Bombyx mori: one gene and its partners. Each later gene encodes a partner of the first gene's protein in a complex. Links are inferred from orthologs where the notes say so. Each region holds a gene or a part of one and is shown in the gene's direction. Other genes may lie near its edges. The genes, in order: NADH dehydrogenase; LYR motif-containing protein 4; adrenodoxin-like protein 1, mitochondrial.

The links.
Region 2: the proteins of NADH dehydrogenase (region 1) and LYR motif-containing protein 4 are in contact, whole or in part, in a crystal structure (PDB 6ODD), measured with the Homo sapiens proteins. The link is inferred for Bombyx mori from reciprocal best matches to the Homo sapiens genes NDUFAB1 and LYRM4. Residues at the interface, in NP_004994.1 of Homo sapiens: Lys92, Asp111, Ser112, Leu113, Asp114, Val116, Glu117, Met120, Glu123, Asp124, Glu129, Ile130, Asp132; in NP_065141.3 of Homo sapiens: Arg6, Leu10, Ser11, Tyr13, Arg14, Leu17, Arg18, Lys21, Arg37, Phe40, Arg41, Lys44.
Region 3: NADH dehydrogenase (region 1) and adrenodoxin-like protein 1, mitochondrial share a complex: the UniProt entries of both Homo sapiens proteins name them as parts of the mitochondrial core iron-sulfur cluster (ISC) complex. The link is inferred for Bombyx mori from reciprocal best matches to the Homo sapiens genes NDUFAB1 and FDX2.

The regions. Positions count from the first base shown.
Region 1 is NC_085114.1:14,894,827-14,899,297, reverse strand, and holds NADH dehydrogenase, read left to right. Parts: upstream 1-1,839; 5' UTR 1,840-1,891; coding exon 1,892-2,059; intron 2,060-2,243; coding exon 2,244-2,357; intron 2,358-2,392; coding exon of another isoform or gene 2,393-2,506; intron 2,507-2,609; coding exon 2,610-2,789; 3' UTR 2,790-3,071; downstream 3,072-4,471. Other genes in the region: protein HID1, read right to left, coding at 164-309, 564-777, 853-918. UniProt on the Homo sapiens protein: Carrier of the growing fatty acid chain in fatty acid biosynthesis.
Region 2 is NC_085108.1:8,216,594-8,222,229, reverse strand, and holds LYR motif-containing protein 4, read left to right. Parts: upstream 1-2,338; 5' UTR 2,339-2,573; coding exon 2,574-2,662; intron 2,663-3,700; coding exon 3,701-3,821; intron 3,822-4,747; coding exon 4,748-4,804; 3' UTR 4,805-4,885; downstream 4,886-5,636. Other genes in the region: uncharacterized protein LOC101737726, read right to left, coding at 581-762, 1,280-1,365.
Region 3 is NC_085130.1:1,948,096-1,953,468, reverse strand, and holds the start of adrenodoxin-like protein 1, mitochondrial, read left to right. Parts: upstream 1-2,042; 5' UTR 2,043-2,243; coding exon 2,244-2,343; intron 2,344-2,413; coding exon 2,414-2,465; intron 2,466-3,642; coding exon 3,643-3,749; intron 3,750-4,321; coding exon 4,322-4,462; intron 4,463-5,199; coding exon 5,200-5,303; 3' UTR 5,304-5,373. UniProt on the Homo sapiens protein: Electron donor, of the core iron-sulfur cluster (ISC) assembly complex, that acts to reduce the persulfide into sulfide during [2Fe-2S] clusters assembly on the scaffolding protein ISCU.

The DNA.
Region 1 (4,471 bases):
CACTATTTTTATCTTTCTACTGTTTTAATGGGCTATGTAGTTTATTATTAACTAAAACCCAAATATAGATAAATGGGAATGTGAGATTGAAATATCTACTAACACCAGAAAATACTTACAAGGGTCTTATAAAATTAGCAAAATAAAGCAAACATTCCCTTACACAAACGGCATTTATCAGTGATTGTGCTAATGGTACAGAGTCATTCTCAGCTGCAGCCGGGAGCGATGACCAAAAGAAGCTGTGCCACTCGGGTTCCTCGAACATATATGGTAATACTCTGGTAAGAAGACGTGCACAGTTCAATGCTGAAAGAAAGAAAGTGCACAGTTCAATGCTGAAAGAAAGAAAAAGTGATTTTTTCTTTACAAACTATTGTATTACTAATCTGTATGGTATGGTCTTGGTCAAAATTTTTATAGTATTTTTTAATTGTTATTTTGAGAAAGAACTTGAGACAGAAATATTGTTTTCAGCTGCATTTTGATGATGTAGACCTGAGAGTGGACGAAACAATTGTGATACTTTTTTGGGCAAAAAAGGTGTTCAGTAAATTTCTCACCGATCAGCTGTTCTCTCTGCGTCCTACAGCTGCTGTCCACGACCTTGACGAGTTTTTCCACAGCCTTGTAAACCAGCGTTGCTAAATTATTAGGAGATTCCTCGCGCAAGGCACGTATCTCCGCACCGGGAACCAATGCGAATACATCTTGTACGTTGGTTACGCTCTCTGACCAGAACTGATCCCAGAAGCTATCGTCCAACGCATCTATAGGCTGCAAAATACATAAATCGATGAAACTAGACTGATTTTTATTTCATTATTTTTCTTCGAATTGGTGCTCAATTACCTGCGACTTTGAAGTTAACTGGACAACCGCCTTTCGAAAGTTTAATTTTGTGTCAGCATTACCCATCTTGTCTTTTATTATTTAATTTGAAAACAATAACTTCATATCAACATACGTTCACACAAAACAATAAATTAAAAAACGTCACTTTTGGCACAGAGTATTTACTTAGATCTATGACTTATATATTCAATGACTTATCTATGAATTAAGTTAGAATCTACTACTATATAGGTCTATGGAATCTACACGTTCATTTTGTCAATACATTAACTAGCCATCAACAGTAATCAAAAATGACATCATTACATTATTTTATGAAATTGTCGATAAAATTTAAGAAAATGTAAAATTTAGTAGCAGTCTTCATAATAAGTTCGAAATTTCTTTTAGGTTTTTGAGCATCAAACACCAAGTAATGTGGATCCATTTATGTCTTTCATTGTTTGAAATGAGTTGAATGAATTGATTAATATATGTACCTAGCTGGTTCTAACGCCTTTACATATACCTATATAGTAGGGACATCCTATATAGTAGGGATAGTAGGACAAATCCATTTTTCGGTCGGAATCGATTGATCATGACACCTACTGCTTAATGGCAGAAAGAGGTAGGGTGGTGGTATCAACCCGTGAGGACTCACAAGGCGTCCTACCACCAGTAATTACGCAAATTATAAATGCGGGTTTGATTCTTATTACACGATGTTATTCCTTCACCGTAGAAGTCAATCGTAAATAATTAACTGTTTAGTAAATATTTCGTTGGAAAAACTGGTACCTACCTGCGGCATTTGAATGCATCGCGGGCATCTTATACCTTAGGCCAAGACGACTTCAATAAATTAAATTAACTCTGTTTTGAAAAAAATAAATACCTGTCTGAGCTAAATGTTTTGGCTCTTTATGTACCTATACGTGACAGCTGACACAGTTTATCGATTGCAGTTGTATTAAAGGTTTTGGCAACCCAGGCTTTCGGATTCGATGAGAGAGAATTGCTGAAAGAAAATAAAGCATTTCGTGAGCTTGAAGAAATGGCTGCTGCGAATATTTTCCGAAGTGCTTTCGGTGGTCTATTACGGAGATCAACAACGTATAGAACGTCCGTAACATGTCGTCTTTCGACCGTTGCGTTGCAGCAAAAGTTCAGCACAATTAAAGCCGCTGTCAAAATATACAAAAGTCAGGCCCTTCAGAATGGGGTAAGACTCTTATCTACTGATATAATAAAATGCATTTTGGGCCGTATAGTGATCATTATATTACAATGAAATATTTCCTTAACATTATATTATTATAAATTTCTCGAGTCTGTTTTAAACAAAATCAATATAACCTCAATTATTATTGCATAACAAAATTACAGTGATAACTCGAACTGTTTAGGTACCACAATCACATCGGTACTCGACAGGCGTGCAGTCTAAGCTTTCGGTTCAGGAAATCGAGGAGCGAGTCCTGAAAGTGTGCAAGGCTTACGACAAACTCAGTGCTAGTCAGGTACATAATATTCATTTAGAAATATTTTGTTTCAGAACGAGAAACATGGTATCCGCAAGTACAGCGGTGGCCCTCCCCTCACCTTAGACCTTATAAAAAGTAGAGTACTGCTTGTACTTCAACTTTATGACAAAATTAACCCTGAACAGGTTAGATTGTGGAAATTTTATTACAGTCAGTGCAAAACTGGTGGGGCATAAAGTTTTATTCTAAGATAAAGAAATATAAAATAATTTTTCTCTTATTTTTCAGTTGACTGTAGATAGCCACTTCATGAATGATCTGGGTCTTGACTCACTGGACCATGTTGAGGTCATAATGGCAATGGAAGATGAATTTGGATTTGAGATACCGGATGGTGATGCAGAGAGACTGGTCAGACCAAAAGACATTGTCCAATACATTGCTGACAAGGAAGATATTTATGAATAATAAAAAAAATATAAACTTCATAATTTTGGACCAGTTGTATTTTTGAAACGATAACAAACCAAACACAAAATTGCATTTTCTTAATTTACAACTGGCCTAAAAGTATTGTTTAGTGATTAGACAACTTTTGTTTTAATTTTACACAAACGTTATCAGTGCACTTCAGACCATTGTGTAAAAAGTGTAAGTTTTGTTTTTAATTATATGCCTGTTAGAATAGATCATTTGTATTTCATTTGATCTGGTGGTACATTATCTGATAATAAAATAGTAAATAGATCACATTTTATTTCATTCATAATTCATGCTAAATAAGCATTTGACTCGAGAGTCCCTTTTTTTTAAAAGAGAAAATGCCTTAAATCTGTACTATTATTTGTCATTAATTTTTATTGATTTTCAAAACTGCTGGAGTATTTTGTATTTCAAGGTGGGCTATGTCCTATATGATGGTAAGTGGCTACCATTACTAATGGATCTTGACAATGACACACATAAAGCTACTAAATAAGAACTTATTTCAAACCTTGTTTGAAGAAAGATGTTGGGTGATTATGATGGGACATGACATGAAGGACAGCAGTGCATACTTGATAACATTGCCTTCCTCTTGCCAGAATATTGGCAATTGCTAACATGCCTGGAGCAGTGATCCTGTTTTTCCAGAAAAGCCAGGTGAACTCAGGAAGTCACTCAAACAATAAACTTAAGCATGCTAGTACTCTTGAAAGACAAAATTTTCATTAAAATACCAAATCTTAATTAGTTTTATACTATCTTATAAATGACAATTTCATATAGATTCTGTGCCCTGCAGAGTAGATGAGCAGTGGTGTTCAACTTAACTGATCATAGATTGTAGCATAACACAGAAATACTGAAATATGGCATCATTCGTTGTGATTGGTGTTTAGCTTCACTTGGAGGAAAACTATTTTCCCAAAAATGAAGTCATGATTTTGAAATCACTTTTTTTTAAAGCGATGTTTTTTGAATGAAGTTAAAAGTCATTGTCTGATAATATTTCATTAAATAGGTCAGGGTTTAGGGTATACCTTTTCTAGTCTTATGGGTTTTTTTGTACCTTTAACAGGAATATAAAATAATATCATACAATAGAATAGAATCATCCAATAAAAATAAATATTTTATCTCTAGTACTAAATCGCTGTTCCTATTTTTATCCATATATTATATATAATAATTATTATTTAATTTTATCTTATACCTATAAGCGAGCAATTCTTGTATATTAATATATATAACAACTTCTTCAACGGCTCAATCTTCATAAAATTTAATATACAGGGGATTTCGGGGGCGATAAATCAATCTAGGTACGATTTATTTTCAGAAAATGTGGTTATATTCGTGTTTTCAATAATCAACTCTTCCCGACATCTATTGGCGAATAATAATACTATTGAAGGCAACTAACCGCTTTAAAGACATGACAAGTGGCGTTATCAAAAAAAAAACCTCATCAGTAATATATTATTGGTGATCTCACGTTAGAATAATTCAATAAAACAGAGGGCCTTATCATATTTTATACAACTTTATTTGGAATATCAGGAGACAGGGGTCAACACAATCGGTGGATTATCACTTTTTTAATAATAAAACACAACACTTACACGCACTACTGAAAAGTGAATCAGATCTTAAATTTTTATATTTAC
Region 2 (5,636 bases), on another chromosome or scaffold:
AGGTGAGCTCACGGGGCTCAAACCTGACGATGTTGCTAACATGAATCCTAGCAAGAGCCGTGCTTCGCAGAATCTACCACCGGATCGGAAACGCGACCCACTGAGTAGATCCGGCGAGAAACTCAGTGGGCTGTGTCTGTGGGAACCCAGCTACCATCAGCGCCATGAAGCCGAGCCTTTCGTCACAAGCGACGGGTTCGACGAGAACGACGACCGGTGCTTGGGGTACCTAAAATCACCGGACCGTGGACCGGTAGGATCCGAAAGACGTGTTTTGGGCGACGTCGACTGTTTGTTTACCATTTGGTCCGCATGATCGGCTATATAGTTTCCGACAGCCACGATGAGATGATTCTCATGTCGCGCCACTTTATCAGAGTGGTGAACCCTTGCTTGTTTGTGTAAATCATCATCACTCAACTCGTACCGACTGCAGAGCACTGGCCTCTCTGCGGACATCAACATATTCCAGTTGTGGCAATAATTACCGTGACCCTACGATTTTCATCGACCCGTAAACCTGGTCGACGCCAGATGTTTATCTGTTAATTCTCACCAAACCATTAATTTGAATACGTACCTTTAGATATTTGATTATTCGCTTTGTTATAAACCGGTATGTACATAAGCACACAGAACAATATCACCGCTGAACTAAACAGGAAAAATTTGGCCAGGATGCTGAAGGTGGACCTCTTTTTGACTTCTTCCTTGACGCTCTTGACATTCGAGTACTGCGTGTAGTTTTTGTATTTTTCATGTCTGTGGTAGAATTAAAGCACTGTAACTGGGCTATGTGACCGGTTTGCATGGCTGAGCATCTGAATAAGATAAGATGAATTCATAGTTCATCTTATGTTAAGTGGTAACTACAGATCATAAACATATACACAACATATATCGCAAAAATACAAGAACTTGTAGTATATATGTAGAATCATATTATACTCTAACGGTAGGCAGTGACTTGGATGCCATTCATTAGCTACGGTAAGCACTCACTATTACGTGGATGGTAAGAGAATCGGTCTACAAGGGCAGTAAATAACTTTTTAATTTTAATTTTAAAATAAGCACAAGTAAAAAGTAGTTAATAACTGAAGTTTTTAAGAATACATTATTAACTTTGATAATTCCATCTCATGTCTTTCTCAGTTGTTTAGGGTTTACAGACTCCTTAAAATGTCAACGAATGTTAATTTTAATAAATAATAGTTTAATGCAACTTCTATATAAAAGAACCAGTAAGATTTAATACATTTCAATTAATTTTAATTACCTGTAAGACAATACAGGACTCTCATCGCTGTGCACGTGATATCTTTCCTCATCATGCCAATTCTTGTGCGATGGTGAATATTCCATGAACTGAAATCAATAATTTAGTAGCCAGGATGGCAGATGGCTCATGGTTGCCTGTTTTAATCAGCAACCACAGGGGCCACACAAGAAATCAGAATATAAAGAGCACAAGATTCCTTGAGATATGAGGATTGAATTACAAATACATTAATATTAAACTACTTCTTATATAATTACTTTACTTTTTTACTATGGATAATATTTAATTTAATTTCCATTGCAACTTAATTAATGATATTCAATTTTCATCATTAATTTGTTTTTTATTATTATAGTATCTGTTTAGAATTTTAGATTTTAACCTGATAATTATTTCAATGACCAAGCGAAATAGTCTCTTTATTTCTTTTTAGTTTTGAAAATTGTTTTTAAAAATTAAAGTTAATATTAGGCATTTCATGGTATGTAATATTTGTGTTACATGGTATGTAAATTGTATTCCTTTGCTAACTTTCATAACTTGACATAACACATATTAAGTGATTTACATACAAAACATGTTTAGTAATCATCTTCCGCTAAGTTACACAACAAAATGTGCAGGCAAGTGAATTTTTAAAAATGGTCTAGAAATCCTAACTTCTTTGACAAAAATATGACAATTTTCTTCGCTAGTCTTGTAAACAAAGTACTTTTGTTGTTTGTTTCCTTTGGATAATTTGGTTAAAATAATTTAAATTTCATCAAACTTTTAACTCACTGTTTAATTTAGTAAGTACCTATATATGTCTTAGAATGACGGCTGACGAGCATAACAATATTTGAATTTGTAATTATCAGATCGCAAATGTTATTAAAACATCGGGAATGTCAAATCAGATGTTACTGACGTTAGACCAAATTGACAATGTACACTTTTCGGTATCCTGTAGTGTAGCTAGACAAAGGCTACTTAAATTTACATCCTTACTAGTGTAAATTGTGACTAATAATCAAAGTCGAATTGAAACTTCTACCCAGACGCGAAACTTACGAATTTACCTTCTTTTACATTTATTATCACAATTCAAAAGTTTTGCACGATAAATTTATTTTATAACAAATAAAGGTTTAACACCGTGTAATACGGAACGTCTAATTTTTGTTTACATAAAAAAACTGGAGTGTAATGTCATAACTGGTCATAACAATTCGTAAGACAAATATCATTGGGTATTACCTTTTATCAATATATTATAGTTTTTAATAAGCTTGTCGAATAATAAAGCGAAATGTCTGGCGCGATACCTAAAATACAAATATTATCTCTCTATAAATTGCTTCTCAGAGAATCCCAGAAGTTCCCTAACTATAATTTCAGGTAATGTTTTGCACCATTATATAACCTAAAACAAATGAAAGATTTACTCCAACGTTACTAGTGAACACAAAAGCATAATTTTGTTACCTTCTTAAATTACAAACAAAGTCAATACATTTTTAATTTTGTCATGATATGTGGCTACCAAATTCTATTAGGCTTAAGTAAATGTATTTACTGGTGGTAGGACGTCTTCAGAGTCCGCACGGGTAGGTACCACCACTCCGCCTATTTCTGCCATGAATCAGTAATGCGTTTCGGTTTGAAGGGGCTGGGGCAGCCATTGTAACTATACTGAGACCTTAGACTTTATATCTCAAGGTGGGTGGCGGCCTTTACATTGTTGATGTCTATGTGCTCCGGTAACCACTTAACACCAGGTGGGCTGTGAGCTCGTCCACCCTTGCTATAAAAAAAAAGCGAAAAAAATGAATTTCAACGCAATCAAAAATTATCAAGCTTGTTTGGAATCAATTATTTGGATAATAATTGAAATGAGTCAGGTAAATGGAATGATGAATGTGATATTAATGCACTTCATTAATATTAATTACTCATTATGATAAGTAATCAACGAGTTTAAATTAGCACTGTGAGGGGCATATAGCTCATAGAAAAAATGGTCACTATTGCAACTCTACACCAAAATCTGTAGTACAAGTAATCCTTCCAGAAGGTAGACCCACAGTATGTTGAAGTTGTGAGAATCTGTCAGATTTGAACAGCTTAGGATCAGTCACTGTGGTGAAGCTTGAGGATGGCCTATGTCCAGTAAAATTATGTAGACTGATGATGATGCTATAAATGATTATCATTTTCATGCATTTAAATTGTTATTTTAGTTTTTTAGGCGGACAAGACACATTTTAAGCAAACTTAATTAGATAATTAAATAAAAAAATCAGCCTCAATTAATAACTACAGCATCAGAGTTACAGTAATTAAAATGAACGAGATTTTCAAAGCCTCAATAAATTATGAATTAATTAATCAACAATTTATCAAAAAATGCTAAATTTTAACCATTCATCCTTTCAGAGCATACGCACTAAGAAGAATTCGAGATGCTTTTAAAGATAATAAAAATGTGTCTGATGTTAAGATTGTGAAGAAAGAGTTTGAATTTGGAAAAGAAAATTTAAATGTTATCAGGAGACAGGTGTGTGAATATGTTTCATTTATGTTATCAAACACATGTGATAATTAGCTTATATTTTATTTAGAAAAGTATTATATTTATATCTTGGTTTCCTTTATATCACATCAGTTAAGTGGTAACGGTAGTCTATAAACATTACAATGGGAAATCTGCCACCTTTTGCTTTTTACAATTTGTCCTTAGTCTTATTGCAGTGCATTTTGCAGTGTTGGTCTTCAGGAGCAGGAAAGGAGAACCAATTTTCTAAAATTTCTATTAATGAAAATAAAGTATACTTCATCCCTACTGTGATGGGTTTGAAATGTTGATTTGATCAAAATATTAAACAACTGATCTTTTTCTCATTCAAATAAGAAAATGTGGTTGCCGAGCTGAGCTGAGAGAGCTGGGAGAGATTATGGTACCAATCTATTCAGGCTCACTCTGGTAGTTTTCCAATTACAGCACAAGAGCTCATTATGCGGCATAATGCTCAACGTTGAATGTTCCAACTGCAGCAACTCGAAGCACAATTGAGCACTCTCAAAAGTACTGCTCTCGCGTGATACTCGCAATCGATACCGACTCAGTGACAGAAAATTGACAAGTGTTTTTTCTTTAAGTTGGCATTGATCGAAATTTTGTTTATATTATCGTTAGTAATATTATTTAATGTTGAAAAAAATTGTAAGGCTTTCGTTTCGTCGTAGTTTCTTAGAAATAATCAATGTTAATTAAGACTGTGCTAACTTAGCGCACTCTGCTGATGCATTTCAAAACTAATTCACGTTCCAATTAAGCTTCAGCATAATTTGGCATTGTGCGTCACTGAGTCGCATTATGCTCTGTAATTGGAAAACTACCACTACACCCCACCTCTGATCTAACTGCACTAAAAGGTTAAACTATTGTGATTAATTCATATATGAAATCATCTTGTTTTACAGGCAGCCATTGGAAATATGTATAAAACAGAAAAACTTGTTATCGAAAATCTGCGGTAGCTTCATGTTTATAATTGTATATTATTATGAAACATCTGTAATGTATAATGTACATTTGACTAATAAATAGTATAATGCAGAGTTTTTTATTCAAATTAAATCTGTAGGGGTCTCAGAACTTTCATTTAAATAATTATAATTGGTTTTGTTACTAAAAGTACAATTAAATGTATATGTGGTATGCATATACACAGGTATGCATCATAAAATAATTTAACCTAATCGAATGGGAGAAGGTGTGATAATTAAAGATGATAATCTAACTTTTTTGGAAATACTGGAAATAGGCTGTGTGCTGATGTTGACTTGCAGTTATTATAAATTAGACTCTTTCCGAGGTCCGTATATAAGGTACTAAAGAGTTTAGCAGAGAATGGCCAGTAATGGCATTTACTGATGATAAGGAGTAACGTCAGTTCCACATTGCCTATTTCTGAATTGAAGCAACCATGTGTTGCGGTTTGAAGGGTGGGACAGTCATTAAGTAGTACAACAACAATTGAGAAACTATTGAAGAATCAACTTTACTATTTACAGAATTTTAATTAGTCGCGTGTGTTAGTTTTTTATTTACATACTCTACGAATACATAAGATGTCGTCGTCGTGGCCTAATGGATAAGACGTCTGGGTGCATTCGTGTTGAGCGATAGTACCGGTGTTCGAATCCCGCAGGCGGGTACCAATTTTTCTAATGAAATACGTACTTGACAAATGTTCACGATCGACTTGCACGGTGAAGGAATACCATTGTGTAGTAAAAATCAAACCCGCAAAATTATGATTTGCGTATATCTCATGGTAAACTTGTGATTCCGCACGGGTTCGTACCA
Region 3 (5,373 bases), on another chromosome or scaffold:
AAGGGCGGGGCAGCCATTTTACTGTAAATACTAAGACTTAGAACTCATGTTCCAAGGTGAGAGTATTAAGGTGGTTAATGTCTAAGGGCTCTGGTAACCACTTAACACTGGGTGGGGCGTGAGTTTGTTGATTTTTTTCGTTACATTGATCTAAGAAATATAAAAAAGTGTTGCAGTGTAAAGGGAATGTTATAAACTAAGGATTATAATATGCTATCTGTGCCAGTCTTTAATATATTGTAAGAACAATAAAATTGAGTATCCATTGTAATAGCTTGCCTAGGCCCTTGACGTTTTTAATGAACAATTCATGAGCAACAGTGACAGCTCCCCACAGAATTAAATGTGAATTAATGTTGCAGAAGACCGCCCCAGAACTAAGGGAAAGCAAGATAAATAGGTTAAATACTTGAAAGTATCTCGTCCATCATTGTATTTTAATTTTAAAACACATTTAGTCCTAGGACTATGTAATATAAGTTACACAACTGGACGTTTCATTTACGAACACAATAAAAACTTGAAATCTGAACTATTGTGGGAAGAAATGCAAATCGAGCACTTTGTTGTTTTCCACAAGAGATTTATGAATAACATTACTATATTTTCCAAAACAATCAATTTCCTATTACTGTTTAAAGTACATAGTCAAATATATTAACGATTTTAGTTTACATTTTTTTACGACATAAAATAAGTGACCAGTAAATAATAATAAAACATACTATCCTCAATTTATAAATATTGATTTCAGAGGGTTAAAACAACGTTTTCTAAGAATGTAGAACCTATCGCTCAAATTTAAAGGCGCGAATGCCGAATGCATTAAACACGTCACTCACCAAAAAATAAGAATATATCAGCAATGTTTTTCATTAAAAATCACGTGTTGTTGTAAGATTATCAGTAATAATCACGCATGTTTGCGTAAAATGATCATATTTAACATTTTTTTTAATTGAACTACCTAAGCCTTTATCATAAAAATCAATATTTTATTATCAATTCATTAATATTTTATACAAAATGGCCTTATAGTATAGAAGTCATCATATGATTGACGCTTGAATAATATGACAATTATGACATTTAATTTTTATTATTGCAAGCTTTACAAAAAATTGCTAATTAAACCAAAGGGTTTTGTATAGAGGCGACTGCTGAAATGTTACAGCTTAAACTATTAATTCACATAGAAGTTATATGTTTAAAATTAATACGTCACTAGCATTTTGGACAGAGAGAGTGAGCTTGTGTTGTTTTATCTATCACACTGAAATCTCAATCTTAGGTTAAACTAAGAAATCAATTTTATTATTATTGAGAGGAACGAAGCTTATCGTCTTAAAATATTTTGGACAGTGAAGTTTTTATTCAATCACGTTTTGACCTTTGCGAGTTTGTTGACGTATCACGTACCGGCCGATGTTATGTCAAACAACGCAATTAATATATAGTATTTAACATGAAGTGAGAATATATATGTACCTATGTATATTAATTTAAATTAAAAAAATTGGATTGTAATTTTACTGCTTTTTTTTAAGGGATTTTATGACCTGGTAACTAAGACTTTTCAGTCATGTCTTATTTTAATTAATATTCTTCTTTTTATGAAAAATGATAATATGGGGTGAAATGAAATGAATTCAAGATGATTAATTTAAGACATTAATCAACTGGGATGAAATTAAATGAAATGAGATGATATGGGATGAATAATCTCAGTAAAATGGTGGTCATTTACTGAGATTTTTTCAGTGGACTTTTTGGAGGATCCCGAGAAGTTACGTCCAGCGGCTTTGTTTCATTTTCCCACATTTGTGCACTTTCACAGATATTAAACAGTTAATAAACCACCGTTATTACACATTTAAACCTGAAGAAACACTAAATAGACAAAATAAAACAAACACACAACTTCACTACTCACGTTCCCGCCAAAAAGTCCTTTAATTTTTGCGGGCTTTCTTTCATCACAGACTATACCTATAAATCAATGGTAGTAGAGAGCTGCCAAAGGCTAAGTATACCTACCTATGACCTACACTACAATCAGCCACAGACTGATATAATAATATCAGCTGACGACAGTCAATAAGTCTCTATTGTCCACATATGTCAACTTCATAGGTAGGTACCTACCTACACCTACTGACTGAAAAATATTCAATGTACATAACCAAAAACCGAATTATTTTATTTTGATTCGAAGTTTTCTCAACAAAGGCACGTTGTGTATCATGCTCCAATTATCAATTAAACGACTTATCTCGTGTAATAGACTGAGTGATTTGCGACGATCGTTTATTGTACAAAACAAGAGAATTCACACTACGAATCGTGAGTATTTACATAGCGTTATATGTTTAGTGCTGACAACAAGAAATATTAATTAAAATGTTATCGGCAGATTTAAAACACGGAGAATACGAATGGCAAGATCCGAAGTCTGAAGATGAAGTGTGAGTATCGCCACAAGCGAAATCTGAAAGGAATTTTGTTACATATATTATCTAGAAAATCTAAAGAGTAGTTACAATTGAAAACCTTAAACGGGGCCTTGATCGAATCAAAACAAAACAATACCATTCTTATTTTTCATATTTTTTATACTAGTTTTTTTGAAATTTCAGTTTCTTCAACAGGTTATGATTATATTTACTATCTTCAGTAAATTAAAAAATTATGTACTTTATATACTAAACACAAAAAAATAAACAAGCTAATAGAATATGATATAATTTTTGTTATGTTTTCAGTATTCATAGATATAAATTTAAAAAATGTTTATATCTAGTAAATATTATTATATTGCATTATTAATATACTAAAGTCATACATTATTAATATACTAAAGTCACACATACATTTTAATATGATTTAAAAGGAAACATATTTTATTTATGCATGAGATGAGATTAAAACTTGTTTTTATAAATGTAGCCATAATAAGTTTATTAATCAAGCTACTAATTAAAGCACAGATAATAAAGGTTATCTCTTGTATAATATATGTGTAAATAGGCAAAAAAAGAAGTACCCTTTTTCTCTTCTGTTAGTTAAGAAAAAGATTTTCTTTGTTTAATGAACAATGGTGTAGATTGCATGGCTATGTTAATCTTCAAATTGATACAAGTACTTAGAGAAATTGGCAATACATGGTGCTAAACATCACTAAAGACTTTGTGTAAATCACATAGTAAATCTAAGTTTCTTTTTTTTTGTTGCTTATATGAGAGGACAAGCTCACAGCCCACCTGGTGTTAAGTGGTTACTGGAGCCCATAGACATCTACAACGTAAATGCGCCACCCACCTTGAGATATAACTTCTAAGTTCTCAAGTATAGTTACAAAGGCTGCCCCACCCTTCAAACCGAAACGCATTACTGCTTCACGGCACAAATAGGCAGGGTGGTGGTACCTACCCGCACGGACTCACAAGAGGTTCTACCACCAGTAATTTAGGAGCCAGGACCTTAGGAACCTTAGAACTCAAGGTGTGTGGCGCATTTACGTTGTAGATGTCCATGGGCTCCAGTAACCACTTAACACCGTCTGAGCTCGTCCACACATCTAAGCAATAAAAAAAAAATGCTTCATTTGTTCCTAGTTATTATTATTAATAATTTATATTTCAGTGTGAACGTTGTATATGTTGATAAAGATGGAGTTAAAATAAATGTTAAAGGGAAAGTTGGTGATAACATTTTATATTTAGCACATAGATATGAGATTCCTATGGAAGGTTTGTAGTGTTTTACTTCAATTATTATTGTTCTTTCTATGACACGGTATCATTCAACACCATAATCTGAATCCAGCCAGTCAAGTTACAATAATGAAATTAAAGTTTAAAAAAAGATTACTTTGTACCTTACATGTTAATTGTTTTGTCCAGTCCAGTAATCTCTTAACACATAACATTAGGTATGCATGTGGGCTTTGGATAATTACTCACAATAGTATAGTAGTATACGTCCGTCTGGTGTAGTGGTAAGTGACATGGTCAAACGGCCGTCTGGTGTAGTGGTAAGTGACATGGTCACTACACAAGGGGGTCGCGGGTTCGAATCCCGCCAAGGGAAGATATTTGTATGATAAATATAAATGTCTTTTCCAGGGTTATGGATGTATATTTAATATATTATGTATGTGTATAATAAAAATCTTACATTTATTTCCCTTATCTGGTACCTGTAACACAAGTTCTTTACGAACTTATCACGGGACCAGTTAACGTGGCGTGATTGTTAGTAAATATTTATTTGTTAGTAAAATAGTATGTATCCATAAGTTAACCATACTTATTAATTACAGGTGCATGTGAAGCTTCATTGGCGTGCACAACTTGCCACGTATACATTCCTCACGATTACTTAGATAAGCTCCCGCCATCGGAAGAGAAAGAAGATGATCTGTTAGATATGGCTCCGTTTCTCAAAGAAAATTCTAGATTAGGTACACATTCTAATAGCATAAGTAAGCAAAAAGAGCGCGCCGTGTACGGGAATTATAGTCTAGCTTTTCTGATGAGAATGTATGATTACTTCGCGGCAGAAAAGCCAAGATGGTAGTACCTACTCATGTGGACTTACATACAGAATGGCCCTAATAAAGGGTGTGATGGTGGAAGTATTCGCATTGTAATGTTCTGGATCTGGTAACCACTTAACACTAAGTGGGCCGTAATTCGTTCACCTGTCTATGCAATAGAGAGTGGTAGCATGTTAATTCTGACCCTTTTCAGCGTTTAGTGTAAAGTGTTTAACGTTTTACTAGATAAATCGCAATATTTTTTATTGCTTAGATGGTTGGACGAGCTCACAGCCCACCTGGTGTTAAGTGGTTACTGGAGCCCATAGACATCTACAATGTAAATGCGCCACCCACCTTGAGATATAAGTTCTAAGGTCTCACTATAGTTACAACGGCTACCCCACCCTTTATACCGAAACGCATTACTGCTTCAAATACCAACTCGTCATTTTGAAGGATAAGGATAAGGATGACCCTCCGCACTCCCTCAAGATAGTGAGACAGCACAGCTTTTAATTTCATTACAATGAGTGCAATTTAAAAAAAACAGTTGTAAAGTTTGCATTTGCCTCCTTTTTTCCCATTTTTTTTCTAGTATTATTTAGATACTGGGCCCAAATCTGAGGCTGCCAATCCAAGTAATTTTTTTTTATTTGCAGGTTGTCAAATTGTTTTAACAAAAGAATTGGAAGGTATGGTAATACAATTACCGAAAGCAACTAGGAACTTTTACGTGGACGGACATAAACCTAAGCCACATTAATTTTAAATACTGGTGGTATTAGAAATGAAGAAAGCATAATTTATTTATGAAGTTACTGATAAAGAAACGT